3 linked regions of the Lonchura striata genome follow. The protein of the gene in region 1 interacts with the protein of each later gene in a pairwise test. Links are inferred from orthologs where the notes say so. Each region holds a gene or a part of one and is shown on either strand. Other genes may lie near its edges.

Region 1 (11,179 bases):
AAGGAAGAGGCCCTGATTTCCTGGATTGTACTCTTTTGCAGTAAAGTCCAGATGAAAAATGGACTTTCACAGATTTTGCTCCACCCAAATACAACAGGAAAGGACACATCACCTATCAAGGACTGGCAAGCAAGTTTTTTGGGTTTTTGTTGTTTTGTTTTTGGGTTTTTTTTGTGTGTGTGTTCATCTGGGGTATTTTTAGTGGCACTACCTTGCGAGAAGAGACAGCTTTTAGCATATTTTCCTGTGGGAAAAAAAAAAAGAAGAAATCCTAACTACAAAAAAAATTTCATATAATGCCAAGACTTCTATAAGACTGAAGAATTATTATGCACTTGAATTACAATGATCATCCTAATGATTAATGATACAAAGCAGTAATACCCTTCCAAAAATTGTCAAAGGTAATTAAATGCTACTTAAATCTAGAAGACATAATAAAAAATAAAAAATATACTGTACCTAAAGTGTAGTTCTGTTGACTATTTGGAGGTATATTTTCTTTAGCCATGGAGATTAACATCTTGCTAGTTTCAGAAAGCTTCTCTGATTCCTTATTCTGAAAACAGAACAAAATGCCTTAATGTGTCACAAAGTAGAGGAAATATCACACAAAATAACAACATTAGTGATGTACTTATTAGCAGTGGAGAACAGATAGTTTTAAAGTAATGCTGGATTAACACATTAAAATTACTAATAGGAAAACTGTGATAAGAACAGATTTTTTTCGTCATTTGCCTTTTATGGAACAGAAATTTTGAGGCTATTTATACCTTCCATTCCCACTACAACATCCAAGCTCTGGAATGGGTAGAGATCAGATCCCTGCTAATCAGCTTCCCTGAGGAGGGGTGAAGGAGTAATAAAAACCATGTACAAAACTCTTCTCACTTGCAAAACACAAATCTTACTGTGTATGCCTAGTGGCAAACAGGTTTTTAAACATCTACAAAAAGATATGAAGTACTCAAGTTGGAAATTACTTGGAATAGATAGATCTTCAATATATTCTTTAACAACAAATACAGTTTTAAGAGCACAGTAAAGACAAGCTTCAATCAAGACTTTGGCAACAGAAGCATTTAAATTCAGGAAAGCTTTTTAATACTCTTACCCTCATTTCCATGTAAGGTGGATCATTTTCAAGTTCTGCCTTATCTTGTGCTAACTTGGCCTTCTGATCCTCAATAAATTTTTCTAAATCATCCGCCATCATTTCTAGGTTACAGAAAAGACACAGAACGTGGCATTTACATTAGAACCTCAAAAATTTAAAGCACAATTGCTCTTGCTTAAGACAGCAGTTAAAAATAATTAAATTTCTCCCGCAGAACCACAAGCCTTAAGATATTTGCTGGGTCAACAAAACAACTGACTTGCAAAACCCACCCATGGAGGAGACTACTTGATGCTTCACCAGAGAGAAAATTAAAAGATTCCAGATTACAAGACTGGAGATACTTATCTAATCTTTTTTCCTAACATGGTTGAAGTGTTTGGGAGTTGCTTGTTTTAACTGCAAGTCTACCAGTGACTCTTCACTACACATTAGCACAAGCTTACTCCTTATGAACTACAAAATCAAAATTAGAAAACACATAAAAGTAAACAGGATGAAGGAATCATTAGAAAAAAAGTACAAAAAGTTCAAAATACCTGTACAGCCTAAAATAAGGACCAAATCACACAATTAATTCTGTGCTTAACTTACAATCATGAGAAGTCTTAAAAATAATCAAGCTTCCTCAAAACAAAACATAAACTAAAAAAATAAAAAAAGCTCACAAAATACAAGCATAGTGCTTCTGGGGTTGGAGCCAACAGTACCTACTTTCTGTACCACTAAAATAGCAGACGCAATAAGAATAGCTATAGGTCTAAAATAATCCCAAAATCAGGGATATGAGGAAGCACTGACTGAGAATTAGACACTGATCTGTAAGAAAACATGTAGTGAGGAAGAGCTAATTACCTCTCTTCCACTAGTTGTGTACCTTGCATATTAAACTGGAAGTCCTTCGAGCAGAAATTTTAGCACCTGATTTGCGGAATTTAGTGTATATTGCTGCTTTCAATAACCTCATAATAAAAACTGAAGTCAATCAAGTTCATGTCAATGGAATTGTACTGAAGTTGAGTTAGACTAGTCGTATCAGAACTAAAAATACTGCAAAGCATACCAACTACTTATAGAAAAAGAAAGACAAACCAGCAAGAATGACTGCATACAAGCCTACTCATCCTAATCTCTCCCCAGCATTTTCACTAACTCCACTGGAGAAGGAGTTTTACAATACCAAGCTTACTGGCAAAAAAAAAAAAAAAAAAGAAAAAACTCAACTTAGATTCCACACTTAAAAGAAGCACAAAACTAAGAAAGTTATGAACCTCAAAACACTCCATGCAGCTTAAGCAAAAGGATTGCTTATGCAGGTTCCTGAAAAATCCCATCACATCCACTATCTTAATTAACATGGCAGGTTTTTTTCAGGCTAATTCACTATCTTTAGAAGTGAAGTATGAAGTAAACAAGAGGCCAGTGATAAAACTATATTAGAAAGCAGTTTCAGGAAGAGGACTGATGAACTTAAAAACAGCAACAAAAAAAAAACAAACCACCAGCTCAAAGATAATAAGGTAGCACATAGGTAAACATAAAAATAATGTGTCCAGAGAAACTGAGATAAATTCTCAGTAGAAGCAAAATGGAAATAAGAAAATGCACAAATTCTCTATGATAAAGTGAAGTAAGTGCATGCTAATTTAATTTACAGAATACATTTGTTTGATGTATTCCTTAGAATGTAATCCTTTGAACTTTTTATCTTTTTTATTCATAATATAAAATTATAGTATTTTTACAAAGGAGGCAGAACTAGGCCAGCCCATTTACAATTCCTAGTGATAATACAGGACAATCAATGCCAAAAATAAATCTCCCCCATCTGATTTGTCCTAAATCTTTAATCTCATTAGTTTTGCACACTGATAAAGGATAAAAGAAATCTGAAAGAGGATAAGTTCCTAGGCATGGTAAATTTTATTTAGCCTATTAGGTTACATAACAATAATGATAAAATGTTCTGAAGGGGTAAAACAACTTGTCATACTAAAAGAAGGTGGTTTCACCACCTACCCAATGCTACACAGTCATCAAGAGGAAAATAACCACATGTAGGAGGCACTGTGAGAAGCCTTTCCAAAAGCTCACTGACAGTAACATCTGTATTTCCTATCTCTATTTACAACAGCATTTATAAACTCCAGCACTGTTTCCAAATCACTGTATGGGAATGGTACCAAACTTACTCTGAGAGCTGGCATAAGGAAAGGAGTCTTTTAGTGTATTTTCTAACTAGCATGAGGAGTACAATTAATACTGCAGCATTCTGCACTCCTATCATATTGCTCAAAAGAGCAATATAGTAAGTTAAAAGCCAAAGACAAAACAGTTACAGTTAAACTACACAGGGAATTCGACTGGTGTGAAGAAAGCTGGCAACTCCAGGCCTTGGAGAATACTAAGCTGACTAATGCTACAGCACTGTTGATTCAGCTACCTTTAATACAGCACAATTGCCTGGAAAATTCTTACCAAATTCTTCACATAAATATCTAGACATTTTATGTCTTAACTTCCTTCTACCTGTGTTGATCTTCTTAAAATACTCATGAATGCAAACTCTATGAGATAAGCAAAAATAATACATTATAGCAAAAAAGAAAAATTTCTTAAGTTAGTCTAAGCAAAAGGGTGACAAGCTTCAATGTGACACATACACTGTTAAGTTGCAAAAATATACCAGCATGCAAGCAAATACCCTACTGAATATTAGTCAGTTTTATCATCTACTGTACCATGTGAAGAGATCATGACTAATCACAACAAAAATAAAGAAAGAACACATTTCTATATGAGACAAGGGCTACCACAGCCCTCAGGAGTGCAGTAAACTATCTTGGAAACGACAGCACCGAACTCACAGGGAAATGTCAACTTCATACTGACTTCCCATGACTGCACAAACACACTGAGGCACAGCCTGACACTATAGCACCAATTCAGAGCAAAATCATTTATTTTCAGTTTAGCAATACATTTTAATTCTTTTTGTGCATGTCTAGATCCTTGCAATTACTCGTTAAACTAGCAGATTCAAAACCAAGCTGGGACACATCACTCCATGGGCATGTACAGAGCATGAAAGGAAAGTCAGAATATGCTGTAAACACTTAAAAATGTATCCCTATGCCCTCAAAATTATGAGGTGTAAGCATATTTCTCTAGCTTTCTGGAAAAGAGAGTATTTTGTAAAAGTATTTCTAACAAATTTTTGATAGGATGTAGCTATCAGCCTTTCTTTAGCTCTTGCTAAAGAAAGATAATTTGTATTCCCAAAATAATGCATTATACGAAGTCAAATTCCATTAATCATACTGCTCTTTTATATTCAAGTACTGTCTGAAAATGTCCCATAAAAACATTTTTACATACTTTTTCTTTCAAGAAGATTTTAGATTTTCATAGCCTCTTTTCCTTATTCAGAGTTTGCACAAAAGCAACTCTGAGTAATTAGAGTCACCTAGGTAGACTTCAACTTAAGCAAACATACCAAGCAATAGAAAGCATGCAGATATTCAAGAACACTAAGTCAAGTTTGAACAGGAGATTTTTATTGGATCTATGCCCAAAGAGAGTTAACCATGTATGTCTTTCTATTCAAGGTATCTAAAACATCTATGTCCATATGTATTGTATGCACTATATTTACCATGCATTTTGTAACGACTTTATCACCTAAAGCAATGTTTACTGTATCCCATTTTAATCTTTCCTTTCCCCTCCTAATTGTTCAGGAAAACACACAAAATTTAAAATCAGCACGTGCAAGTAGATTTCATCTCTTCTATGCCACCATAATATTGAAATATCAGCAGGAGCACTGGCAAAAAGGCAATTTCTTATCCACGTGAACTGCAGCACAGGTGGCAAGGAGGGAAATGCTTTAAAAGAGCGACTATATGCCAAGTTTAGTAATTGTACTTACAAGCTATACAGCCACTAATTGTGTCACTAAGAAACACTGTTAAAAGTTTAACCCGAACTTCCTGAGGAATTAATACTGACTGCTTCTGTACCCTTGTGAATGGCACTTAGAATAAGCTACTGCTGCCAGAGACGCGCTCCCTGTACTTTTCTTTAAAATTCATTGCGGAAAAGCACAGATTCAAGGGTCTGGCCGTTGATAAATAATAAACTCTTGACTAAAGCAATGCGATTTTTTCGCAACTGAGAAGGCAGTCTATCCTCTGAACAACGAAGCAACAAGTTTGGCGAGTTACTTTCCCTCCACTACAGGGCTTATCTATTTTTTAGAGTACGTAATTTGATCCAAAAATACACTAATTTCGAAAAACTTTCAGACCCAGGAGATCAGGTTTATTTCTGCGAGAGCGACAGCTCGGGCAAGCGCCTCTACCCCGGCCTGCAGCGCTCGCCTCCCCACCTCCGTCCTCGGCAGCACCTCTGGGGCACTCCCGGAGGCTTCTACGCGCCGGGGAGCAGCTGCGGGGCGGAGATGCGACACTCGGGGCTCGGCCCCTTTCCGGATGGCGGCGCCGTTGTCAGGCAACGGCCGCACAAGCGGCCCCACCGGAGGGCCGGGACCAGCCCGGCCGAGCCGAGCCGAGCCGAGCCCCGCCGGGAGCCCCCACGGGGACCCCCAGACCCAGCGGTGCGCCCCCGCCCCGTCCCGCCGCCCAGCGAACGCCCTTCGCGCCCGCCGCCGCCCGCTCCGGGCTGTGAGCGATGCTGGCGACGGAAGCCCCCGGCGGGGCTGCGAGCAGAGTCCCCGGGCGCCGCGCCGCCCCCGCCCGCTCACCGGTACCGGCAGCCACGGCTCCGTCCGCGCCCCGCGCGTTCCTGCCGGCCGGAACGCGGCGGGCGGCGCCGGCAGCGCCCCCCGCTGCCCCGGAGGGCGGCGCGACCCGGCTGCCGCTCCTCCCGGGCGGGGAAAGGAGCGGAGGGGAGGCGGCACGGGCGGGCTCCCCGGGCTGGGGCGGCGTACGAAGGAGCGCAGCGGGTCACCTGGTCCAACCTCCCCGCTCCGGCAGGGCCACCCTACAGCGCGTGGCGCAGGATTGCATCCACACCGTTCCTGAGTCTCTCCAGCGAGGGACACTCCACAACCTTTCTGGGCAATCTGTTCCAGTGGTCGGTCACCTGCACAGGAAAGCAGTTCTTCCTCATCTTCAGGGCGAATTTCCTATGCAACAGTTTTCTTGCCTCTTGTCCTATTGCTTGACACCTCCCAGCAGAGCGCGGCTGCATCCTCTTGACGTCTTCCACTTTAGACACTTATATACATTGATAATGCCGCTTCTCGGTCGTCTCGAGGCTGAACAGGCCCAGATCCCTCAGCCTTTCCTCGCGAAAGAGACGCTCCCGTCCCTTAAACATCTTTGTTTACTCTCCGCTGGACCCTCTCCAGATGTTCGTGTCTCTCTCGTACTGAGTGGCCCCGAACTGGTCACAGTAATTTAAGAAGCACAAGTCAATAAATAAATGGATATAATAGAAAGGCCTCCGCCCGGCCGGGGTCGCGTTTTTGCGGTGCCGGTTCACGGGGCGAGCGCGCCGGGCGCGGCCGCGTGCAGAGCCGGGCGCGGCCGCAGGGGGCGCAGCGCCGCGCGGCCGGGCCTGCGCGGACCGTACCACCCTGCGAGGTGCCCCCGGCCCGCGCTTGGTTCCGCCGGCGGCCCGGGGCGGCGGTGCGCGGCCGGGAGCGCGGCCGGGCCATGGCGGCGGCGGGCAGCGGCGCCTCCGGGAGCGGGATGGCGCAGAAGACGTGGGAGCTGGCGAACAACATGCAGGAGGCGCAGAGCATCGACGAGATCTACAAGTACGACCGCAAGCAGCAGCAGGAGATCCTGGCGGCCAAGCCCTGGACCAAGGAGTGAGTGGCAGGGGGCGGCAGGGCGGGCGGGCGGTTTGGGCGGTGAGGAGCGGCCTGACGGGATGGCTCTGCCTTCCCTTCCGCGGCCTCTGCCTTGTTGCAGCCACCATTACTTCAAGTACTGCAAGATCTCTGCGCTGGCGCTGCTGAAGATGGTGATGCACGCCAGGTCCGGCGGCAATCTGGAGGTGATGGGGCTCATGCTGGGCAAGGTGGACGGGGAGACGATGATCATCATGGACAGCTTCGCCCTGCCCGTGGAGGGCACCGAGACCCGCGTCAACGCGCAGGCCGCCGCCTACGAGTACATGGCTGCCTACATCGAGAACGCCAAGCAGGTAAGGACAGGTGGCAGGGGGTTCTGACCGCCCCCCGTGGAGATCCTGTGCCTCTTGTGAGCTTCAGGAACATACCTGGGGCGTTCCAGGCTTCCTCCCTCCCCCAGAGAGGAAGTGCCTGCCCGGTTGTCCTGTCTCTCCTCAAACATGGCAGTGAGAACTGTCAGCAGCACGGAACGCAGGGGCCTGTAAACATTTTCACATACATATTTCTCTGACTTACAGTAGGTCATCAGAGGTTGGACACGATGATCTTGGAGGTCTTTTCCAATTTAATGATTCGTTGGAAAGTAGTGCATTCTCCTTCCCTTTGAAAATTACTTTCATTGCTGAGGAAGTGTTCTTATGGCTGCTGGTTGTGCGACATAGTGTGTTTCTAAAACAACCGATACTTCTTTCTAAAAACAGTATGCAGAATTAAATATATGTGTGTGTTGGACTACTTAGTATTTATAGATCAGAATTATGACATTCATTCTTACCTTCTGAGATCTTAGTGTATGGTATGCTGCTCTATTCCATTAAAAAAGACGTTTGTGAAGAAAATGTCAGTGAAGGAATAAGTAAGTTTCAGTGAAAATTAATTATTCATATTTATCATTTGGAAATTTAGATGAACTTGCTTGTCTGTTTTTCGTCTTTGTCACTTTCTATTCAAAGAGCCATGTCATATTAAAGCTGACTATACAGTGCAGTTCTCATGTGCAGAAAGATAACAGAAGTATAACTGTGCTCTGTGGCTGATATGTAAACCAGCACAGAACATCAGAGCACTTCCTGATGTGCTTCTTCCAATACAGGGCAATTCTATGCTAGAAATAAGAGTTGAAATAACTTTAACTCTCCAAGCTCAAAGAGTTTTGATACCCAGTTGACGCATTGATTTTTAAACCAGCTAAAATTAGAAGCCCTTTACATACTAAGTGGATATAACAGAGGAGTATTTGGGTTCTTTTGGAGAGTTGGACTTATGTTCATAGCCATAAATAGAATTGAAGATATGGAAATGGATGTGCATTAGGCTGAATCATAACATCAGCAAACAGTAAACATAATGCAGAGATAATTATGTTCTAGAACTCTTGTTGCAAAAAGTAGGTAACTTGAAGAGATGTCTTTGCCTAAAGATACAGTCATGCTATCTTTAAATAAAGATATATTCATAGAATCCCATTCTTAGGTAGAAATACTGAATTTCAAAGTGGTAAGTATATAGCTTAAAATTATAAACAGCTTGTCTTATGTTTAAAACAGTCCAGGTTTCTGTAGGAGTTCTTATGTGATAGGAAATGTTTATTTCCCCATTGTTTATGTTGTTCAGTTTTGTCTGTAGTTGGTTTCACAATTTTGAAAATGAACTTGTGTGCAAATAAAAGAACTCTACTTTCCTGGTGCTGTGGCAGAGCTTTCATGCTGGCTGTTTCATATTTGATTTTGGCAAGCACTTGTTCCTGGAATATTTCTTTTTATCATTAGGTGCTAGTTAATATGCATCCTCCTATAGAAATGCTTTATAGATGCTGCTGTTCCAGTTAGTTGCTTTTCCATGGACAGGATCTGGCCTTAATGTAGTTTAGATGTATCATTTGGCTTTGAAAAATAACACACGTTCTTTAGTGTTTTGTTGGTGTTTGTCATGCAAGCTGTAAAGAAAATACAAATATTCTTCACCAGTTAAAAAATACAGTAGGCAATTCATGTGTTTTGTCTCATTACCAGAGCAGCCAGTAAACAGTTCCTTAGAGAGGATTACAAAAATGAGGTTCAATGGGTGTTTATTCTCCTCGGTTTTTTTGGCTTTGCTCCTTTCTCTTCCAGTATTTTTAGAGATAGCCAGCTGTATTATTTGGAAACTCCTATTTTGAGGTTTTATCTGAGAAAAAGTTGTCCAAAACTCATAATTTGGCTTTTAAACCGGTCTCCAGGCAATAATTTCTGTCATTTCTGGTGTTTGAAAGCATACCTTTGAAGTAATTTTTTAAACCTACCACTGATCTCATAGTATGTGCCTGTGAGATATGTTACCATACTAAAAAATTAATTCTCTACTGACGTTCCCTACGTTATATGAGGTTATATATACTTGTGTTATATCGCTAAGAAATTTCTCAGCCCTGCTGAGCAGCTGCAGCTCACCATCCAGCTGTGTGGAACCTCTTCTGTACTCCAGCTGTCACTGAAGAAGGAGCCCCAGGCTCCTCGAAGGCCTTTGTTCTGTGGCAGCAGCTGTAGGAGAGAATGCCAGTGCCACTCATTGTACGGTTTCTAGGGAATATTTCCCCACGCGTGGAAATTCCCGTTTATCCTGCCGCGCCTTGCAGTGTGCTGGAAGTGCCGCTGGAGGGCAGGCGGTGCTTTGGGAATGGAGCTGGACGCTGGGGCTGTTTCCCTTCCCTGCTCTTTCTTAGGTCGGACGCCTGGAAAATGCCATCGGCTGGTACCACAGTCACCCCGGCTACGGCTGCTGGCTCTCGGGGATCGACGTCAGTACCCAGATGCTTAACCAGCAATTTCAGGAGCCCTTCGTAGCAGTGGTTGTAAGTACTGGCTGGTGGGTGATAACCCTGCACAGCACATCGTGTTGAGGGGAATAATTTTTGGATTTCTGTCTGTTAGCATTTTAGTAGTGTGTACTTTGTATTATGGAGGTGTTGGAGCCACACTTTAAACTGGTGCTGCTCCTGCTTTGCTGGCCAAATACTGGCCAAACCAGTAGTGTTGCTTGCCTAGACCATTTTCACTTCATTGTTTCAGTTATGGTATAGTTCTTAAGCATAAGGGGGTTTTAAGTATTTAGGAAATAAGGAAAATTAGTTTGAAAAAATAATTCACTGAAGGCTATTGATATTCACATCTTTTTAGAGAGTCTCATACCAAAAGAAAAAGTACTGTTTATGACAGAACTAATACAGTTTGCATGAATTACTGAAATAAAATTGCTATAAACTTAATTTAAGCCTGTAATAAAATATATGTAATGAGTATTACCTGTATTTCTGCAGATTGATCCAACAAGAACAATATCTGCAGGAAAAGTAAATCTTGGTGCTTTTAGGACATATCCTAAGGTAAATAGTTAAAATTATCTAGTGTGTGAATACTGAACTGTCTTTATATGATTGTCTGAGTTTGGTCTGCTGTGCTGTACTGAATGTTCATTCCAAAGGAAGATGTGCCTGTACGCTGGTTACTGCATGCCTTTGGATATTGGATTATGTTTATAAAGGTCGACTTCAGGTTTGGTTTTCATAGAGTTTTGGCAGTGTTAAATCAATTACACTGTCCAGATTGTGGAGCTGTCCTAAAATTATGTAGCTCCCTATAGCTGTCTTTTAATGGATATAGTTGTAGGTAGTGTGCATCAAAATTGTTTTATGTTAGTTCTTCTCTGGTATTTTTTTTGGACCTAAAACCAAATGTTAATAGGATGTTTAATATGTCATAATTTGCTTTTCATTTTAGAAGAGGAAAGTTCAAAACTACCTGCTTAACTTTTTCAAATAAATACTATGAATCTTCACAAACTAATGTACAAAAAAGTTAATTAAACAATATGGGTTAGGCTTAAAACTAAGAAATCACATCACTATTGGAGATGTAGGTCTCCAAATGCATCCTCTAATATATTTCTGGCTGTGCTATTTAATTTCAGTCCAGTGAAGTTCGGGTGTATCTTTTAAATACCCAGTTATGAATGACTCATCAAGAACTTCAGACAGCCATCCAGTAAAACAATTACCAAAATTAATTGCTTAATAAAAATTAAATTTTATAATTAACATAAATGATTGTGAGAGGTCCAGGCATTATTTTTGTGTTGACAAAAACTTAAGTTATCTTAGAACAGTTTGTGATTCAGGAGAACATTCACTTCTGTGAGCA
Region 2 (8,924 bases), on another chromosome or scaffold:
CCAAAGCCCCCAACCCCTCCCCAAACCCCCCAGCTCCTCTCAAAACCCCCTAGCTCCTCCCAAAACCCCCCAGGTCATCCCCAAACCCCCAGCTCCTCCCCAAAGCCCCCAGCTCCTTCCAAAGCCCCCCAGCTCCTCCCCAAAGCCCCCCAGCTCCTTCCCAAACCCCCCAGCTCCTCCCAACCCCCTCCAGCTCCCCCCAAAACCCCCCAGCTCCTTCCCAAACCCCCCAGCTCCTCCCAACCCCCTCCAGCTCCTCCCAAAACCCCCCAGCTCCTCCCAAAACCCCCCAGGTCATCCCCAAAGCCCCCAGCTCCTCCCCAAAACCCCCCAGCTCCTCCCAAAACCCCCCAGATCCTCCCAAAGCCCCCAACCCCTCCCCAAAGCCCCCAGCTCCTCCCAAAACCCCCCAGCTCCTCCCAAAACCCCCCAGATCCTCCCAAAGCCCCCAACCCCTCCCCAAAGCCCCCAGCTCCTCTCCAAACCCCCCAGCTCCTTCCGAAACCCCCCAGCTCCTCCCAAAACCCCCCAGCTCCTCCCAAAACCCCCCAGATCCTCCCAAAGCCCCCAACCCCTCCCCAAAGCCCCCAGCTCCTCCCAAAACCCCCCAGCTCCTCCCCAAAGCCCCCAACTTCTCCCCAAGCCCCCTCGGGTCCCTCCAGGAGCTCCAACCTCCCCCCTGCCCCTTCTCAGGCCCTTTATAAAGAAACCGCGGCGCTCCTGCCCCTGCCAGTGACTCTCCCAAATTCCCACTCGCTGATGGGGGGGGCGAGGCTCAGCCCCGGGGGTTGCTTCTGCCAAAATTTAAAGGCGCCCCCCGAGCTGGGGTTTGGGGCATTTCCCACCCCCGTGAGCGGCGGAGCAGCCGCAGCTTCGGCCCCGTTTTTGTCCAGCCCAGCCCAGGACGCTCGGGGGCTTTGCCGGGCTGGGCTGGGCCGGTTCCCGGTGCCCGGGCCACCGGAGCAGCCCCGTTACACAACGGGGCCCGGAGACGCGCCGCCCTCGCCGTTAGGAAACACAAATCGCTGCCAGGAGACTGGAAAAGAGGAAAAAAACCCCTCGGCACAACCCCCGGCTCGGCAGCAGCCCCAGAGCCGAGCCCCGGGATGCTGCCAGGGTGGCACCGGTGCCCACCGGGACATCCCCGATCCCGGGGGGCTCTCCCGGCCCGGGTGGTCCCCGGGCAGCCCCAGGGGCTCATTTTGCCCCTCCCAAGCCGAACCGGTTCCTCGGCAGGGCGGGCCGGGGGAGCTGCCGGGTTTTTTTTCCCTTTCTCCTCCTTTTTTCCTTTCTCCTCCTTGTTTCCTTACCCAGCCCTGGCCGGTCGCTGCCTCCCGGCCGGGTGTGGCCGGGCGGGGCTATAAATGCCAGGGCCCGAGGCTGGCTCCTCTTCCGCCCTGCCCGCTCTCCCGTGCCCGCCTGAGCTCTCGGTGAGTGCTTTCCCCCCTCTGCTCCCTCTCCAGATGTTCTCCAGATGTTGGCGAGGCGCGGCTGCCCCACCTGCGGCGCCCTGGCAGAGGTTCCTGCTGCAGGTGCCGAGCTGGGAATGTGGATTTCACGGGCGAGGGCTGGGAAAAGCTCCGGAACCCCTTCCCTGCCCCGTCCCCCCGTTCCGGGGCTGCCCAGCCCGGCCGGAGCCGGGCGGGGAGCGGCGCCTCCCGGGACGTGGCACATCCCGGGGCCTGGCACGGGCCGTTCCCCGGGACCGGCCGTGCCCGGGGACGCCGAACTCCTCTGTCCCCTCCTCGTGTCGCCAGGCTTGCCGCTGTCCCCATGGCGTGTCCCCTGGAGCAGGCGCTGGCCGTGGTGGTCGCCACCTTCCACAAGTACTCGGGCAACGAGGGCGACAAGTACAAGCTCAACAAGGCCGAGCTCAAGGAGCTGCTCACCAAGGAGCTGCCGAGCTTCAGCGTGAGTGCCGGGCCGCTGCGGGCTGCCAGGGGGTGCCAAGCCCGGGTTTAACCCCCCCTTTCCCCCCTGCTCCCCGGGCAGAAGCAGACCAGCGAGGAGAGTTTACAGAAGCTGATGAGCAGCCTGGACTGCAACAGCGACAGCGAGGTGGACTTCCAGGAGTACGTGACCTTCCTGGCCTGCATGGCCATGATGTGCAACGATTTCTTCCAGGACCTGCCCGACAAGATGCCGCGCAGGAAGTGAGGGCAGGGCCCGGCAGCGCCCCGGGACCCTCCCGATGTCCTCCCGATGCCATTTCAATAAATCTCTTTGTAAATGAAGCGTTCTGGTCTCAGGGTCTCTCTGCCCGGGCTGGGGGAAGCCGGGGGCGATGGAGGCTGTGCCTGGCTCTGCCCTTGGCTCTGCCCTTGCCCCTGGCTCTGTCCCTGTCCCTGTCCCTGTCTCTGTCCCTGCCCCTGTCCCTATCCCTGTCCCTGTCCCTGTCCCTGCCCCTGTTCCTGTCCCTGTCCCTCTATCCCTCTATCCCTGTCCCTGCCCCTGTCCCTCTCCTGTCCCTGCCCCTGCCCCTGGCTCTGCCCCTGTCCCTGTCCCTTTGTCCCTGTCCCTGTTCCTCTGTCCCTGTCCCTGTCCCTGTCCCTGTCCCTGTCCCTGTCCCTGTCCCTCTATCCCTCTATTCCTATCCCTGTCCCTCTGTCCCTCTATCCCCGTCCCTGTCCCTGCCCCTGTCCCTCTGTCCCTGTCCCTCTATCCCTCTATCCCTGTCCCTGCCCCTGTTCCTGTCCCTCTGTCCCTGTCCCTCTGTCCCTGCCCCTGTCCCTGTCCCTCTGTCCCTGTCCCTCTGTCCCTGTCCCTGGCTCTGCCCCTGTCCCTGTCCCTTTGTCCCTGTCCCTCTATCACTCTATCCCTGTCCCTGTCCCTCTGTCCCTGTCCCTCTGTCCCTGTCCCTGTCCCCCTGTCCCTGTCCCTGTCCCTGTCCCTGTCCCTGTCCCTGTCCCTCTGTCCCTGTATCCCCGTCCCTGTCCGGGGTGGACTCCTCGTTCCCGAGGCCTCCCGAACCTCCCCCGGGGCCCCGTGGGGCTGAGTCAGCCCTGCCCGGCCCCTCCTTCCCCGGAGCCGCGGACGTCCCGCAGGGATGCGGGCACGGCTCCGAGCTGGAACTGCGCCCGCCCGGCTCCGTCGCCCCGCGGCTGTCGCGATTGTCGCCTCCCCACCGGCCGCGTTCCTGCCGGGGTGCGGCTGTGCGGAGCAGCCGCTTCCCGGTGCTCCGGGCCCGGCCCCGCCGCTCCGTTCCTCCCCCGGCGCCCTTTCCCCTCGCCATGAAAAGCTTCGTCCTGCTCCGGGCTCCAGATGTGCCACACGCCCCTTCCAGATGTGGCTGTGCCCCCTCCATCACCTTCATGCTCAGCTCCTGGGCGCCACAAAGGGACAAAGAGGAGCGGGAACGGCCTCAGGCTGTGCCAGGGGAGCCTCGGGGTGGATATCTGGAAAATTCCTCCTGGAAAGGGCGGCCAGGCCTTGGAAGGCGCTGCCCAGGGAGGGTTGCAGTGGCCACCCCTGGAGGTGTCCGAGATCCTGGGATTTTAAGATTTGGGGAAAAAAATATCTCCATCCCTCCAGAGTCAGAGAACCCCCAGAGCACGGGGCTGCACCACCCCCACACCCACGGCAGGTGAGGGGGAACCCCAAAATCCTGGACCTCACCTGTGGCTGTCTGTAGGTGGAATGATGCTGCCCAAAGGGATCCACCCTGAATTCATCCCTCCTCGTGAGATCCACCCTGAATTCATCCCTCCTCGTAGAGATCCACCCCACACCCTCTCCCCTCACAGAGATCCACCCTGAATTCATGCCCACTGTCAGGGATTCATCCTAAATTCATCCCTCCTTGCAGAGATCCACCCCACACCCTCTCCCCTCACAGAGATCCACCCTGAATTCATGCCCACTGTCAGGGATTCATCCTAAATTCATCCCTCCTCGCAGAGATCCACCCTAAATTCATCCCTCCTCACAGAGATCCACCCCACACCCTCTCCCCTCACAGAGATCCACCCTGAATTCATCCCCACTGTCAGGGATTCACCCTAAATTCATCCCTCCTCACAGAGATCCACCCTAAATTCATCCCTCCTCGCAGAGATCCACCCCACACCCTCTCCCCTCACAGGGATCCACCCTGAATTCATGCCCACTGTCAGGGATTCATCCTAAATTCATCCCTCCTCGCAGAGATCCACCCTAAATTCATCCCTCCTCACAGAGATCCACCCCACACCCTCTCCCCTCACAGGGATCCACCCTGAATTCATCCCCACTGTCAGGGATTCACCCTAAATTCATCCCTCCTCGCAGAGATCCACCCCACACCCTCTCCCCTCACAGAGATCCACCCTGAATTCATCCCCACTGTCAGGGATTCACCCTAAATTCATCCTGCTCACAGGGATCCACCCTCTCCGCTCACAGGGATCCCCCTCCTGTCCCCATGGCACTCACCTGTCCTTGTCCCCCTCCCCAGGTGCCCCAGCCACACCCTCTGCCATCCCCAGGCCTGCCTGAACCCGTGTCCCTGTGGTGCCACCCATGTCCTTGTCATGTCACCCGTGTCCTTGTCGTGTCACCCGTGTCCCTCTGCCCAGCCCACGCGTGTCCCCTTCCCGTTGAGGATGCGCCCATCCCCGTCCCAAAACCCGTCCCTTTGTCTCCCTCTTTTGCAATTTTGGGCTTTTCTGGCACCGGTTCCCGGTGCTCCGGGATCACGAGGCTGGCGGGGAGATGTCTCACCGCCGTTGTCATCATCACTTCCCAAAAACCTTCATCACCAGCACGGGGCTCCTCACCAGCCCCCTCCAGGCACGTGGGGCTCTGCAGCTCATTCTGGCCACTGGGAGCACTGGGGGGCTACTGGGAGCACTGGGGGGCCACTGGGAGCACTGGGGGGCCACTGGGAGCACTGGGGGGCCCCAGGCCTGGGGGACAGCTGGGGGTGGGCACATTTGCCAATGCCCTGGGTTATCCTCGGGCAGCAATTCCCGCTGCCGGGAAGTGGCACCTCCCAAGAGAATTTTCAGGCTTTGAAAATTCTCTCCCAGTTCACCTCCCACGCAGCAGGGCTGTGCCCGGGGGTGACTCCCTGCATCCAGGGGGAATGTCCTCCTGCAGGGGTGGGATGTGCAGCCCACCCCTGGCACCTGGGAAGTGAATTGGGAGAGAATTTTCAAAACCTGATGAAATGAAATTGAAGTTTTTCAAATGTCTCTCAGTTGGCCCCGTCTGTGAGTCAGAAAAGGGATTAACCCGAGACCTGTCCAGCAGCCAAATTCACCAAAAATTGGTGACAAACTACATTCCCACAGGTAAAACCCACTGGAGACCCCCACCCAGAAAAGTTCCTCTTCAATCATCTACATCGAACACTTGGGGAACGTTCCAGAAAATCTCCTGCACCATCGCTGTAATTTTTGGTGTTTCCTTGTTTTGTCCGACGAGTTTGGGGCTTCCCCTCCCTCGATAACAGTTCCTGGATGGGGCGAGGAACCTGAAATCCTCACCTGGGCGTGCTGCGCTGCCTTGCACAATTCCCGGGGTGACTGCCCTGACGGGAGCCGAGGCTGGCACGGCTGGCAGCTCCGGGATGGTATAAAAGGTGCCATCCCCAGCTCAGCATCACCCGATCCTCCTGCTCCTCTCGTCCCTCTGCAGAGCCCAGACCTCCTCCGAAGGTGAGCAGCTCCTCCCAGGTGCTGCGGGACGAGCGGCCGGCGCCGGTCCTCGGGTTCCGTTTGGCCGCTCTGCGGAACGAGTCAAACATTTCACGCTTTGGGACACGGTTTGGATGTTTTGCTCTTTGTCCCTTCCCAGCAGGATGAAAACCAACCTGGAGCTGGCGCTGGAATGCGTCGTCAACGTCTACCACCGGTACGCGATGCGGCACCCCATGGATGACTACCTGAGCAAGAACGAGTTCTCCAAGCTGCTCAAGGAGACGGCCGAGCCTTTCCTGAAGAACACGGTGCCGGTGAGAGCCCGGAGCCGTGGGGTGGGGAAGGGGTTGGGGGATCCTCTCATTCCCAGGAATGTTGGGCACCTCCCGCTGGATTGGGGTGCTCATCCTTGGGCACTTCCAGGGATCCTTGGGGATGGGGGCGGGCCACAGAATTCACAGAGTCGCTGGGTTGGAAGAGACTTCAAGAGGATCGAGTCCAACCCAGCCCCAACAGCTCAACCAAACCCTGGCACCCAGTGCCACATCCAGGCTTCGTTTAAACTCCTCCAGGGGTGGCGACTCCCCCCGGCAGGCCACCCCAGAACTTTATCCTGGGAGCTTCCCAAAGCGAGGAAGGGTTTTTGGGGTCCAGCCCTGGCTGGGTGAGCCTCGTGCCACAGCTGGGGACGGGCAGGGTGACCCCGAGCTGCCCGTGCTCCCCCACAGCCCAACACCGGCACGGACAGCTACATCCAGCAGCTCTTCACCAAAGCCGACGCCAACCACGACGGGCGCCTCAAGTTCACCGAGTTCCTGACCACGCTGAGCCTCGTGGCCATCGATGCCCACAACAGGTCCCACAAGGACCCTGGTGGTGACCATGGCCACGGGCATGGGCACGACCACGGGCACGACCACGACCACGGGCACGGGCACGGGCACGGGCATGGGCCTGGCCACCGTCACTGAGACGGGAACATCGCCCACGGTGGCCGAGCCAGGGACTCTGCGTCCCCCCAGGAGCCTCAGCCCTTGCCTGTGACCAAACCTTTGTCACCTGCTTCTACTTCGTGGCATTGAAATAAAATCTCTTCCTTTGAGCACCAAACCCATCCGTGTGCCGTGTCCTGGGGAGGGGCTGAAACCCAGATTGAACGGGAAAAGCAACGGGAAGGGGAGAGTGGCACGGGGGGGCACTGGTCTGGGCAGAGAGTGGGGGTCAGGACAAGGTTTTGGGGGGTCCCAGTGGGCAGCACAGGCCGAGGGGGCTCCTGGAGGGTGTCAGATCCCAGTGTGGAGCTCCAGCAGGTGCCAGAGGTGAAACACAGCTGGGATGGGGGGGTCCTTCCTCAGGTCTCTGCCAACACGCAGCCCTGGAACTGGGGGTGCCACATCCTGGGGGTGCCACATCCTGGGGGTGCCACATCCTGGGTGTGTCACAGCCCAGGGACACCAGATCCCGAGGGTGCCACATCCTGGGGGTGTCACAGCCCAGGGACACCAGATCCCGAGGGTGCCACATCCTGGGGGTGTCACAGCCCAGGGACACCAGATCCCGAGGGTGCCACATCCTGGGTGTGTCACAGCCCAGGGACACCAGATCCTGAGGGTGCCACATCCTGGGGGTGCTGCATTCCTGGACTGCCACTTCCCAGGCGCCTGTGAGATGTTTTTGTGACCCCCCCAAAACAACCCAGCAGCCCCAGCAAAGAACGAGGCCGAGGGGCTCCGGGGGCTCCGTCCTGCGAGCTGCTCGGAGGAGCGGCCGCTCTGCAGAATGAGTCAAACATTTCATGGTTTGGGACACATCCCCCAGGTCACCACACACCCAAAAGCCACCGTGGGCTCCTGGGGGCTGAAGCAGGAGGGGAGAAGAGCTCCTGGACCCATCAGTGTGGGGGAACCCCCGGCTCAGGAGGCTCCAACATCAGCCAAACCAGGAGCCTGTCCCGGGTGAAACCAGGGGCATTTGGGTGGTTCCTCGGTGACACAGGGCAGCTCTGAACTTGGGGAGCCACCCTTGTCCCTCGGAGGAAATGTCACTCACTGCCAACCCCGTGTCACTCGGGCATTGCTGCCCTTGCAGGGATGGGCATCGCCAGCTGCTCCCCCACAGGTTTTAGGGGAAAAATGGGGAAATTTGGAACTGCACCAGAGCACCAGATGCTCTCCCTGCCAGCTGGGGGACGAGGATGCAGTTTGGGATGGGTGTCACTCCAGTTTGGGATCCCAGTTTGGTATGGGTGTCACTCCAGTTCAGGATTGCTGACACTCAAATTTGAGATCGATGATGCTGCAGTTTGGGGTGAGTGACATTCCAGTATGGGATCGCAATTTGGGATGGATCACCCTCCAGTTTGACATTGGTGACACTCCAATTTGGGATCCCATTTGGGGATGGGTGACACTCGAATTTGGGATCCTAACTGGGGATAGGTGACACTCCAATTTGGGATGGATGACACTCCAATTTGGGATCCTAACTGGGGATGGGTGACACTCCAATTTGGGATCCCATTTGGGGATGGGTGACACTCGAATTTGGGATCCCATTTGGGGATGGGTGACACTCCAATTTGGGATCCTAACTGGGGATGGGTGACACTCCAATTTGGGATTGGTAACAATGTAGTTTGGGATGGGTGATGCTCCAATTTGGGATCCCAGTTTGGGATGGGTGACACTCCAATTTGGGATGGGTGACACTCCAATTTGGGATGGGTGACACTCCAATTTAGGATCCCAATTGGGGATGGGTGACACTCCAGTTTGGGATTGGTAACAATGTAGTTTGGGATGGGTGATGCTCCAATTTGGGATCCCAGTTTGGGATGGGTGACACTCAATTTGAGATGGGTGACACTCCAATTTGGGATGGGTGACACTCCAATTTAGGATCCCAATTGGGGATGGGTGACACTCCAGTTTGGGATTGGTAACAATGTAGTTTGGGATGGGTGATGCTCCAATTTGGGATCCCAGTTTGGGATGGGTGACACTCCAATTTGGGATGGGTGACACTCCAATTTGGGATCCTTATTTGGGATGGCTGAGACTCCGCAAGGAGCGGGGCCGGGAAACAAAAGGAGCGATGCAGTGAGTCAGGGATACCGGAATAAATCTGTGCAATGCCCTGGGGATACAGGAGCATCCTCAAACAGGAACGGGCACCTCCAGTTCTCCTGGTCCTTCCCTGCTCCTCCTACCCATTGTCTGCTTTTAAATCTTCTCATTGTCTGATTTTAGATTTCCTCATTGTCTGATTTTAAATCTTCTCATTGTCTGCTCATTCTTGTCCCTGACA
Region 3 (11,090 bases), on another chromosome or scaffold:
TATTTTATGTTAAGACGTCTGCAATCATAGTGACATTTCCAAAAATACTGCAGGTTGGTTTTAATCTAGTTTTTAGCAGTTCCCAATGACAGTTTCACAGTCAGTTTTGCACCATAGGCACAAAGGGAATAAATAACTTGAAAGTGGTTGATGTAAAAAAGGTTTTACTTTACTGCAGGCACTACCAGCTTTGATCAGATCTCTTCAAATTCGAAACTGAAATGGAAAAGCATCTCCTCAGTGCACAAGGCTCTGAAAAGTTCTCATCTGCTTTCTAGTATGTCCAAAGATCACAGCAGTGTTATCAAATGGAAGGTTCTGCACGATTACAAGTTTTTCACCTTGTAACGTATTTCCACACTGCAGAAAGGTGAGGAGTAACAGCTACTCACACTGCTCACAAACAGAGGGAACAAATTCCTCCACTTCTCTGACTGGGCAACAGGCAAAGAATTTCACAGACTTATTTGAATCCATGGCATTGATAAGAATCTAATTCGTAATTCTTTAGAATTATGAGTTTCTATTTCCTATTCATAGCAACTGCTGCACCACAGCAGGAAACAATTAACATCAAGCTACACAAACTAGGGAGAATGATATGGTTTGAAATCAAAAAGTGTTGCTTGTCTATGAGAAACTTCATCACAGCATCCCAACTCATTCATGAGTAAATGTGACATTTCAGATTAACATCTCTGAGAATCACTCTTACCCCAGTATATGCAGCTAAAGGACAAGCAACCCTGAAGACCCAATTAATGCTGTACTTAGCAGAAAGGTGAAAAAAATTTATAGGACTGCATTTGTGAGAAAACATCTTCTCTGTGGTGAGCAAAATCTTATCCACTTTAATAAGTAGATGATAATCTTTCCCCATTTAAAGCAAATTAAGAGAGAATATCTCCTTGACATCTCTACAACAGGCTTTACTGGGAATAGAAATCTGTGGGTGTATAAACAGAAATGTTTAAGATTCAAGAGTATTTTTGCAGATTTTAGAGGACTAGCCAGGATTTCAGTTTTCAGAATGGCTACCACCATTGTAGCCTCATGTGGCTTTATCCAAAGTAGCCTCCATTCATTATTCAATTCTCCCTTAACAGAGCCTGCAGAGGATGCAGCACAGGAGAGATCTGCAGAAACACGTTCCAACTTGGGTGATTTAGGTATGCTGAAATTGGTATTTTACACATTATTTATTGTTACCATGGTAAGAATAATACTCTTCAACCCTGTTTTCTAAATAGGTGACTGTGAGCTCCAAAGCAGACCCTGCTTATCTGCAGAAGCTGCCAGCACACGAGATGAAGGAAATGGATAAGGGGCTCAAGTTATAGGAAGCCCATCTGACATGACACAGAAAGGAAGCCACGCTCACACTCCGGGAGTCTCAGGATTTGTCACTCATTCTTCACTGAGGCAAGCAGGAATTCTGCCATTTCCTGGAACCCTTCCCAAGACCACACAGGTGCCATTGATTTTTTTATCTTACAAGGAGTTTTTTAGCATCTTCTTGTCTGCTGGTATTTTTAATTTTTGACTCAGCACACACAGCTGCAGTTGCTGCCTTCAGTACCCCCTGCTAGAAGGGGCAAAATTTGCTCTCATATTTGACCCCTCTTAATCCTCAGGAAGGTGAATTAGTTCCATCAATATCTGAGCCTTTATCTAATATCAAGGATACTTAAAAACATTTCAATACTCAGTGCAGGATACTGTTACTTACTACACTTTCCAAGTCTTATACTTGTGAATATTACTGTTACCAGACCTGGCAAAGTCAGACAAGCTGCACTCAGGAAATTGCTCCTAGCAGGACACAACCCTCATCAGTAAAGAACGGAAAAAAATACAAATTCGGTTACAGAAAAATAAAAATAATAATAATAAAAAAACACACCAGTATTTTCAATGTTTTCCCTGAATGGCTTTCCCAGGTTGAGAACAATGCTACTGAAAAATGGTGGTGGGTTTTTTTTTTTTTTTTGGTGACATCTCAATGCCAAATGGTTCTGTACTATAAACAATTGAAGCAAGGAAGACTCTTCAAATATTTACCTTAGAATGAGAAGCTGAAGTATATATTTCCAGGCCTTTTAAAGAAAAAGATAATAATTTCACCTAAATAGCCTAATGTGGGTGGGAGAACATCCCTATTTGAGGGAAAAGTAGGAATAATGTCAGTTGAGCAGAGGAGTCAGGATAGAAAGCAACTAAAATCCTTCACAAATACATTATTAATACCCTTTATTAAGGACAAAAGCAAGAATAATTTATTATTCACCCTTCACTCTACCTCAACCATTAGACTCAATTCACTGCTTCTTCTAACAGGGCAATGCTAAGGACCATGATAAAACAAATACCTAACTGTACCTGCCCACTGATTTCCAGTATTTCATTAGTGCTGGGGTTTGTTACCCTTAGAAAGGGCTAAACCCCCTGCTCATACTCTTTAAATTTTAGTACCAAAATCACCTAAAGTTAGCTGCTATAAAAATGTGTAAGTATTTAAAGTTTAAAGAGAGCTATAATGAAATACCAAATAGCTCTAAAATTACAGCTTGCACAAGGATTTGGGCAATTCAGTTTGTGAGCTGATTATTAAAGCAGATTTTGCAGTGTTTTTATGCCTGAGTATGATTTTAATCTGTGTGTAGCCTTGTCTAAAGGGGTATTGACACAGAGCTCACGGGCACACCACACTTTGTGTAACTAACATTATGCACTTGTTCTACCAGAACTGCACTGAAAACCAATAATTTCTTTGATCTAAATCTAAAATGCAGTGTGTGCTGAAATGCAGCCATGTTTTAGGAAAAAGAAGTATAAAAATGACACTCACAAAGGTCAGTCATTACTCTCTGTCTGGCAAAGACATTTAGAACAGACATTTAATAATCAACAAATAAAGCACTAGCACAGGTTACTAACACCAGTAATTGTTTTAAATATTGAAAGACAATCATTGCCTCAAGGCATCCAAAATCCCAGCTGCTGTATTAATAAAGGGAAAAAAATTAATTTCAGTTCTGGCAGCTGATGCAACCTCAGGTAACATCTGCAATTGCACGAAGCACCTCTTAAAATATGTCAGTAAACCTTTTGAAGCCTGATTCATGAATTCTTATCTGCTCCAACCATCTAATGTTGATATAAACTGAGCAAGAGCAGAACACATTGACATAGTACGTCTTACTACCTTTTGAAACTTTAAACAGAGAAATCACTTGCATTTCTTTCTAGGAAAGGTCTAAGCCATGCTTTTAAAAATTAAAGTTCACACTTTGGAAATATTGCATTAATTACAGTAAGTGAAATCAGTAAGAACTATAACTAATGAGTGCAATTCAACTGAGCATGTATTAATATGTCACCAAACATATGACATACGAGACCTGACATTTACAAGTTGTATTACTGGATTTTCAGGAAAATCCTGGTCTAACTTTATGAAGGGAAGTCTTTAAATAATTGAAACCAGGGCGGTTTAAATTGGTAACAGGCAAAACCCAAACCGGATCAGAGGAAAAACCCCATTTACTTTTACTTATTCAGTAATCCCATAATTCATCTACAGGATTTTTTAACTCCAATTTTCTAGAGTAGAATTTCTGTTCCTCTGCCTGACCTTTTGCTATCTAAGCATTACACAAGCAAAATCCTGTAAGAAGGAAAAGTGTGCAAGAAAAGACATTTCTTCATCATTTTTCTCAGCACCATCTCAGCTGACTGTGTGCCAAATGGTAAAAAGTTAAATCCCTGACCAAGCTTTTCAAGAGTAAGTCCAGATGAGATGCTGCCCTGGCACACGTGAAGTGAGGCTGGATCAGCATAGCTTCTTTCTTTGAATAATTATGCTTTTCCTTGATGCCTGGAAGAGAATTTGTCATTGGCAGCTTCTCAGTCTTTTGCCCCAAAATCAGTCGATCCCAGCCCAGTGCTGATCCCTGCAAGCGAAGGGATGATGCTGGAGACACCCCCTGCAACTTCCAGGTTTTCCCTTGATTTACAAACTCCCAGGCAACTCTTTTCATCCCAAAGCACCAACAATAGCAGACAATAAGCCCTTTTTCAGACTGTCTGAAACACCAAACCCCAACCCTCTATTCACACCTAAAATCCCACCATATGTTACGAATTAAGAGCCAAAATCCTGTGGCAGCTTTAATGCAAGCAGCTAATCAAAGCTAAAGCCAGCATACACTGAAACCCACGGCAGTCTCCTCCCGACTTGCTGAAAAGCTGCCTCAACACTCTTTAAACAAGCCGAGTCTTATTTCCAGAGCCCCGCCACTACCCAGCCATGCACTGATCCCATGTGTATGCGTGAAAGGCAAGAGAACACCCCAGGCTTTTTCAAAGCCCTTCCTACGAAATACTACTAGATTAAGCATCCCCTCATTCCACCACAGGACTAGATTAAGCATCCCCTTAGAACCGCAAGGGACGAGAAGGGGGCAGCCGGCTGGTCCCAGCATTGCACCGGGGGATCAAAAGGCAGAAACGCCTCGGAAACCCACACGGGCTGAGGGGAAAGTTGGGGCGAGCCAGGCGGGGAGGCGGCGACCCCAGGCAGACAAAGCGCCTCTCGCCCCTCCATTTTAGTGCCCCCTCAGACCTGCCGGGCGCATCGCCCCCCCAACCGCGCCGTCCCCGACCCTCACCCTCCAGCAGCCGTTGGATGATGCTGTCGATGTTGAGCTTGTCTATATCCGCCATCGCCTCTCAGCGGCCGGGCGGAGCCCTCCCCGCCGCTCCGCTCGCGGCTTGGCCGGCCCGACTGCGCTCCTCGTTCTGTCTCGTTTTTGCCCTTTTCCTGCTCTGCGCCTCGCCTCGCTCCCTCCGCTCCCCCCCCCGCCCCCTCAGCACAGAGCCAGCGCTGAACAAAATGGCCGCCGTCCCCTCAGCGGGCTCGCCTGGCGCACGGATACGAACGAGCGCGACGCGGCCCGTCGGAAACCCTTCATAGGCCGGGCGGGAAGAGCGGGCGCGGTGATGCGGCCCGGTTCGCGGGATCCTGCCGCTCCCGGGACGGGAAGTAGTGCGGCGGTGCCGCCTCCCGGTGTCGCGACAGAATCAGTGGTGGCGGTCGCAGGGTGCCAGGATCCATTAGGATGGAAAAGAGCTGCGAGATCGTCGAGTCCAGCCTATAACCGAACAGCATTATGTCACCTAGACCATGTCACCGAGGAGTGTAACATTCAGTCCTTCCCTGAGGGACAGGGACTCTGCCACGTCCCTGTGCAGCCCGTTCCAATGTCTGATCACCTTTTTCTGTGGAGAAAGGTCTGCACCTTGTGGCGTTCTTGCAGACTGGGATCTGCAGAGGACATCAAGGAGCCACCATGGCCCTCACATCATCCCCTCACTGCCCCTCACACCCACATGTGGGGGAGATGGTGGCTTCAGGTGGGATTTTGGGGCACTTCAGGGTTGGGGGAGCACAGCCGTGATGTCCTTCACCTCACACTGAGCCACCTCCACCTCACGGGTTGAGGCAAGGTGTCCTGAGCAGCTCCTCAGCTCCTGAGCACTTTCAGACACGTGGCTCTGCACCTGCAAATCCTTCAAGAAACAAACGTACAGCACTTTCAAGTCCTTGCAGATGAAGGAATGAAGCTCCTCGTTCAAAAGCATCTCGCTGTTTATTTCACACTTTTATTATTTTATTCTATATGTAGCTACAGCTTGGTTACAAGCACTTAAATGAGGTTTAAACTGGATGGTGTTTGTCCAGGAGACAGGCTGTGCGAGCCTTCCCCACCGTTCAGTCTGTACCTCGAGTTGAATATTGTTTTATTGCTTTATTTACTCCTACTTTAATTTGCGGGGCTGGCTGTGTCGAGCTCTTTCCTCGTCCCCTCCCTTCCCTGGGTGGATTGCTCCCACTATCCTGTCGGGTTCCTCCTTGCCAGCAGTTATACAATTTTCATTGCAGCTCATTGCCGTGGTGGGGCCGGAGCAGAGTTCGGATTCGTGCGGGTGATAAAGCAAAGGACTTGCAGTCTCAGCACACCTCAGGTCTGCGGGAGGAAGGAGATAAGAGGATGCAGAGTCTACCTGAAACACAGGCTCAGGCCCCTTGCAAGAGCAGCCTCAACACTCCACTTCCCCGAGCGAACACTTATCGTATGGAGCACGCCCAAGCTGATATGCTAATCTTAGTCACGCTGGTGTAAACCCAAAGTAACCCCATGGAAAACAATAGAGTTACTTCAGATTTGCTTCAACGTGACAGCCTTTGCAGATTTACATCTATTTTTGTGCTGCACCTTCTCGGGGAAGGGCCCCTCCGGCTCTTGCACCGAATACTTTCTTTCTCTTTCAAATCCTTCCTAATTCTGCAGGGCGAGTTGTTCTCTTGGACTTAGCTGAACTATTTAACAAGGAAAATTGGTCCTGTGTTTCCAGAGGAACCTTCCTGGCCTTGTTTTCATTTCTGTAAATATCTTCATCTCATCTCACCCTTCAGCTCTTATCTCCTCTCCAGGGACAAGTTCTCTGGGGATCTGAGCACCTTTAGTGGGTGTTGAGTACTTTTCACTCCTGTTAACTCTCTGGGAAATGGGATGGAGGGGAAGAGTTTAGCAACCCAGGTCAACCCAGACAACGTACTTGGGAATTCACCTGGAAACTCCATACTTCTGAAAGGACAGAACTGGCCCTTCAAAACAAGGTCAGGGCAAAGAATCTGTCTCACTTGCTGAACCATATCAGGCAAGGTCCAGAGCACTGATAATTCTTGTAAAAAGAGGTGTAGCCAGGAGGAAAGAAGAGAAATGACAGATAAAGGTGAATCTGTAAAGGCCTCGTCATCACCTTTATAACCAACTCGCCTTGTTCCAGCTCTAAATCTCAACAGCAGCTGCCAATGCTTGGTGTCCTGTTCGGAGCAGGCTGGATTTTTGCACAGGGTCTTTCTCATTATCATAAAAAAAAAGGACCCTTCCTTATCAGTAAACTCCATGGAGAGCCAGAGTTATATTAAAATGCCACTACAAAATTATCTTTTTAATAAGGTAGCTTTTCTCTGCAGGAAATAACCAGCCTCGCCCCACACCCTGATTAGAAAAGGGACCCAACCAAGGCATTATAAGTATCATGAAGCTGTTTTGTTCTCTGGTGTTGCTCACAACAATGATTTATTTCTAGAGAAGGAACAGATTTATTTCCAGAGAGGGAACAGCCAGGGAAATCCTTTTGTCCTTAAATTTTGCACATGGGCTTGAAGCACTCCATAATTTTGAAGCTCACGCTTCATATACCAACAACTCCACCCCTTCTTTCAATTTGTCTACAATTCTTTTCCTACTTTCTTACTAGCAAAATACATGGTGATTAACAATTTGTTCAGTACAAATCATTCACAGCTCATGGCTCTGAGACCTCTGGGTCTTTTCCTCCTTTCCCCCCTTTAAATTCCACAAATCACCACTTTGGTCTCATTCCTTGGAAACCTCTGTGTAAAACACCTTTCCCCAGTGATTTGTCCTTGCCCTCTCTTGCAAGTGTTGCTTTATTATTGTATTGTTGCTCATAATCTGGTTAAGTTTAAGAATATATAAATTATACATATAATATCCACCTACATATAGAGAAAAATAAGATTTCAGTATTGTTCTGTACATATATATAAATATATACTGTGAGTACAATATAATACATATTTACACCATGTACACAAACATACATGTGTATATATGTACAAAAAATAATTACATTTCCCTGATTTATCCCTGTTTGTAGGCGGATCCTGAGAAATGTGAAGCACCCACACTTTTAGATTACATATTTGCTAAGCCCATGAAATTCAGTGTGTTTGTGTACATTTCAAACAAAGATCTACACGGGCTCTCCAAACACTGCTAAAACAAGAATGGGTGACTTGTAGGTCAGGTGTTATTTTTCCTAACTCGCTCCACAGCCAGGATTCCAATGTTTTCATAACTCCTACTGTTTGCACCCAGCTTGCCTGGCGTTACAATTGAGATAAAGCCTCATGCACACTCTTGCTTTTCATTCCTAAAATATTTTGCTAACCCCCAAATTTCAGCAGGGTTTTGAGGGTGGGTGGCGCTGATTTGTCAGACAAAAGAGAAGCAGCCGGAGCGAGCTGTGAGGCTGATCTGGAGATGGAAGGGTCTGTGTCCTGCTGCAAGGGGAGCTGATGACGCACAGGCAGGAGTTTTCTTAGTGTCGTGTTTTATTTACAAAACGCGCGGTGCCACGATCTCCCTCCAGCAACAAAACTTGTGGATCCTGCGCGTTCCTGTGCGGAACCCGGCGAGGAGCTCGGGGCTGGCAGCTGCTCCTGAGCTTCCAGCACAGCCTTGGGGCTCTCCAAGGACTCAAACCTTGTGCAGAAATGGAATGAGACCTCATTCCCAGGCAGCCAGCAGCAGGATTCCTGCTGGAGACTTCCTTACACTCTTCTCAAGGGTGTACCCTGCATAACAGAGCCAGGCCTTGATTTCCACCAAGCTGATGGTTTCCCAATCTTAACAACCGGTCTCCATCTGAAACCATCCCCCAAAAGCTGTCAACATCAATGGCAAGTCCATCTCAAGCTTGTTAAAATCCCATTTTTTGGATACCAAAGTTAAAAAAATTCAGCTCAGAAAATTTTGAGACAGGTAATTTTGACATGGGAGAAATATGACTTGCCATTCCTCTCCTCCTAGTGGGTTTTTAAAAATTTATTTATTAGAAGTTGTTGTACTTCATGGGTTTCTGGTGAAAGGTACTTTCAAATGGAAAAATATTCTATTGGTGAATTTTGGAAGGTTCATGCTCACAAAAATACTATCAATAAAATCCTTCTCATTTAAAAATATCATAAGTCCCTTTTTTTTTCCCAATATAGCAGTGACCACTATAGGATTTTTCCTGCTGCAGCACTTTGGATTAGGAAAACCCAGCATATTCCATACTCCTGATGAATTTCTCAGTTGAATCTGACTTTTAAAGCTCTGAGATGAGGCACAAGAGCCATTTTGATGTGTCCTGTCCATGGCTGAGCATCCTTGGGCAAAGCATGGCCATCATCTGCTCTGCTGCTTGGAGAAAGAGGAGAAAGAGCTCCAAAGGAGGCTTTGTCCTGCTTTAAGTGGAGAGCAGCCGTGGCGGATCAGTTGACGCCGCTTTGGCACCGAGAGGAGCCCTGTCTTCCCCTCTTCCTCAGGAATCCCTTTGCTCGGCCAAAGGGAGTTGCATAACCAGCTGGAAAGATCTTGTGGGCTTCCACAGGGGCTCAGCTGAGCTGTTCTCAGAGGGGAAAAGGAAAAAACACAGACAGCAGCCAGTGCTGAACACCCAGCAAAGGGGGTTTTTGCCCCTTTTCCGGCTAGTTTGTGGTGGGGTGAGCACAACTTCCCCTTCGCAGCGTCAGCAACTCTCAGCACAGCTCACTTGGATGTAGTGGCACAGGGGGATGTGAGCAGACCATGCAAAACAAGTAGAAGCCACTCAAAGCCCCACTTTGCTGCTCCATGTGGGACATTTCTGTGTGGCTGCAGCCTCACGTGGCTCGAAGGCAGCGCATCGTGGATGTTCCTCATTGCGCCGGCCAGAGACGCACGTTTGCAGCCTGGGACACGGCCTCTGATCTCAGCCCAGCTTCATGGCTGAGCTGCTTCTCTAATTAAGACCCATGAAAAAGCAGCACCAGGAGGGCTGTCAGGGGAGCAGGAAAGTGGAAATAGGATGAAAGTCGGGTGATTTGCTATTGGTCAAACAGCTGCTGTGCCTCTGCCAGTGGGAGACACACCGCTGAACACGAGATGCAGGAGCAAGAAAGAGACTTTCCATGCACCCCAGAGGTCCTTAATTCATTCATTCATGCCTTTTCCCATGGAAATGCAGGCGAAATAAGTGGCAAATCCCATCTGCAGGTGCCTGGAGGCTGATGCATCAAAGCCTTCCCAGGGACAGGTAACAAGTGTCCAGAGGGCAGTTGCTTTGCTGATCCAGATTTTGTTTTCCCTTACACTCCTGAAATTCCAGAACAATCCCATTGGCAGCTCTTGGACACCTGGGATTTCTGCTCATATGCAGCATTTGGAAACATGATTGATTGTAGAGGTATCTGCCAGGTATTCTTATTTCTTTGTTTCTATTCTCACCTCCTCCTTGCTGCTCTCTGCTCGCCAGCCTGGCAGATTTTCAGGAGCTGGGCTGCTCTTACGTAACACTGCGCCAAGATTGGTGTGAAAGGATTTGGAGGGCTCTGTGGCTGGAATCACCTTTGATCCCTGGATTCTCTTCTGGTATGTCCATGCATTTTGGGCACACCTCTTTGAGCTGCTGGGGCATCTCTGCCCTGGCATCCCCTTGGAACCCATCCTCTGCCACCAGCATCGCTCAGATTCTGGTGTCCAGGCCATTCTGTGAGTGCTGCCTTGGTCACAGCTGTCTTGTGGTGGCAGATGTGGTCCCATGCCAGCTCTCCTGGGCACACAGGAGCAGCTTCTCCCAGGTCTCCAAGAGAGCGTGACCAGAATTCAAGCCTGTGTAATTAGCAGTAATTAGCCAATTGAGGGAGCGTGTATAAAACAGATTAAACTCACTGAAATCCCCTGCTGAAGTTGAGCTGAGCTGTGTTCTTGGCTCAAAAACCTGCACCCCCATCCAGAGGATGCCTTAAGCATCTTGAGGAAACCCTCTTTCTCCTCTTTCTCCTGGGAGGGTCTTTCCTGCAGGCCATGGGCAGCTTCATCCAAGCAAACATCTGGAACGCCGTGGACATCGGGGCTTAGCCCAGCAGCAGAGAGGGAAAACTTGGGATGGACCCAAGGGAAAGGTGGGCAAGGCTCTTCGTGGCACCCACCACGGTGCTTTGGGTGCTGCCTTACAGCAAACACAGCCCTGGGAGCTGCAGTCCCATCTCAGGGCTGCAGCAGAGGCAGATCCAAAGGGATGAAGCCAGGCTCTCTCCCACGCCGCTCTCCAGCCTGGTGCCTTTGCTGATGAATCACAAGTGTTTTGGTCTGGATGTGGTGATAAATCCAAGTGCTGCAAATGACAGAGTGCACAATGGTGGGGTTTAGGCAATAAATCAGCTTTTTACGTCAATGCCTCCTGCACAT

Evidence for each region.
Region 2: the proteins of COPS5 (region 1) and protein S100-A12-like interact in a two-hybrid assay, tested with the Homo sapiens proteins (2 studies listed by BioGRID). The link is inferred for Lonchura striata from reciprocal best matches to the Homo sapiens genes COPS5 and S100A7.
Region 3: the proteins of COPS5 (region 1) and PPP1CC interact in a two-hybrid assay, tested with the Homo sapiens proteins (2 studies listed by BioGRID and IntAct). The link is inferred for Lonchura striata from reciprocal best matches to the Homo sapiens genes COPS5 and PPP1CC.

The regions. Positions count from the first base shown.
Region 1 is NC_134603.1:34,857,822-34,869,000, forward strand, and holds the start of COPS5 (COP9 signalosome complex subunit 5), read left to right. Parts: upstream 1-6,768; 5' UTR 6,769-6,801; coding exon 6,802-6,959; intron 6,960-7,062; coding exon 7,063-7,297; intron 7,298-9,705; coding exon 9,706-9,834; intron 9,835-10,299; coding exon 10,300-10,365; intron 10,366-11,179. Other genes in the region: CSPP1 (centrosome and spindle pole-associated protein 1), read right to left, coding at 463-559, 1,118-1,219. UniProt on the Homo sapiens protein: Probable protease subunit of the COP9 signalosome complex (CSN), a complex involved in various cellular and developmental processes.
Region 2 is NC_134635.1:3,173,221-3,182,144, forward strand, and holds protein S100-A12-like, read left to right. Parts: upstream 1-5,779; coding exon 5,780-5,932; intron 5,933-6,346; coding exon 6,347-6,589; downstream 6,590-8,924. Other genes in the region: protein S100-A4-like, read left to right, coding at 1,774-1,911, 1,993-2,157.
Region 3 is NC_134620.1:11,977,595-11,988,684, reverse strand, and holds the start of PPP1CC (serine/threonine-protein phosphatase PP1-gamma catalytic subunit), read right to left. Parts: upstream 4,836-11,090; 5' UTR 4,726-4,835; coding exon 4,671-4,725; intron 1-4,670. UniProt on the Homo sapiens protein: Protein phosphatase that associates with over 200 regulatory proteins to form highly specific holoenzymes which dephosphorylate hundreds of biological targets.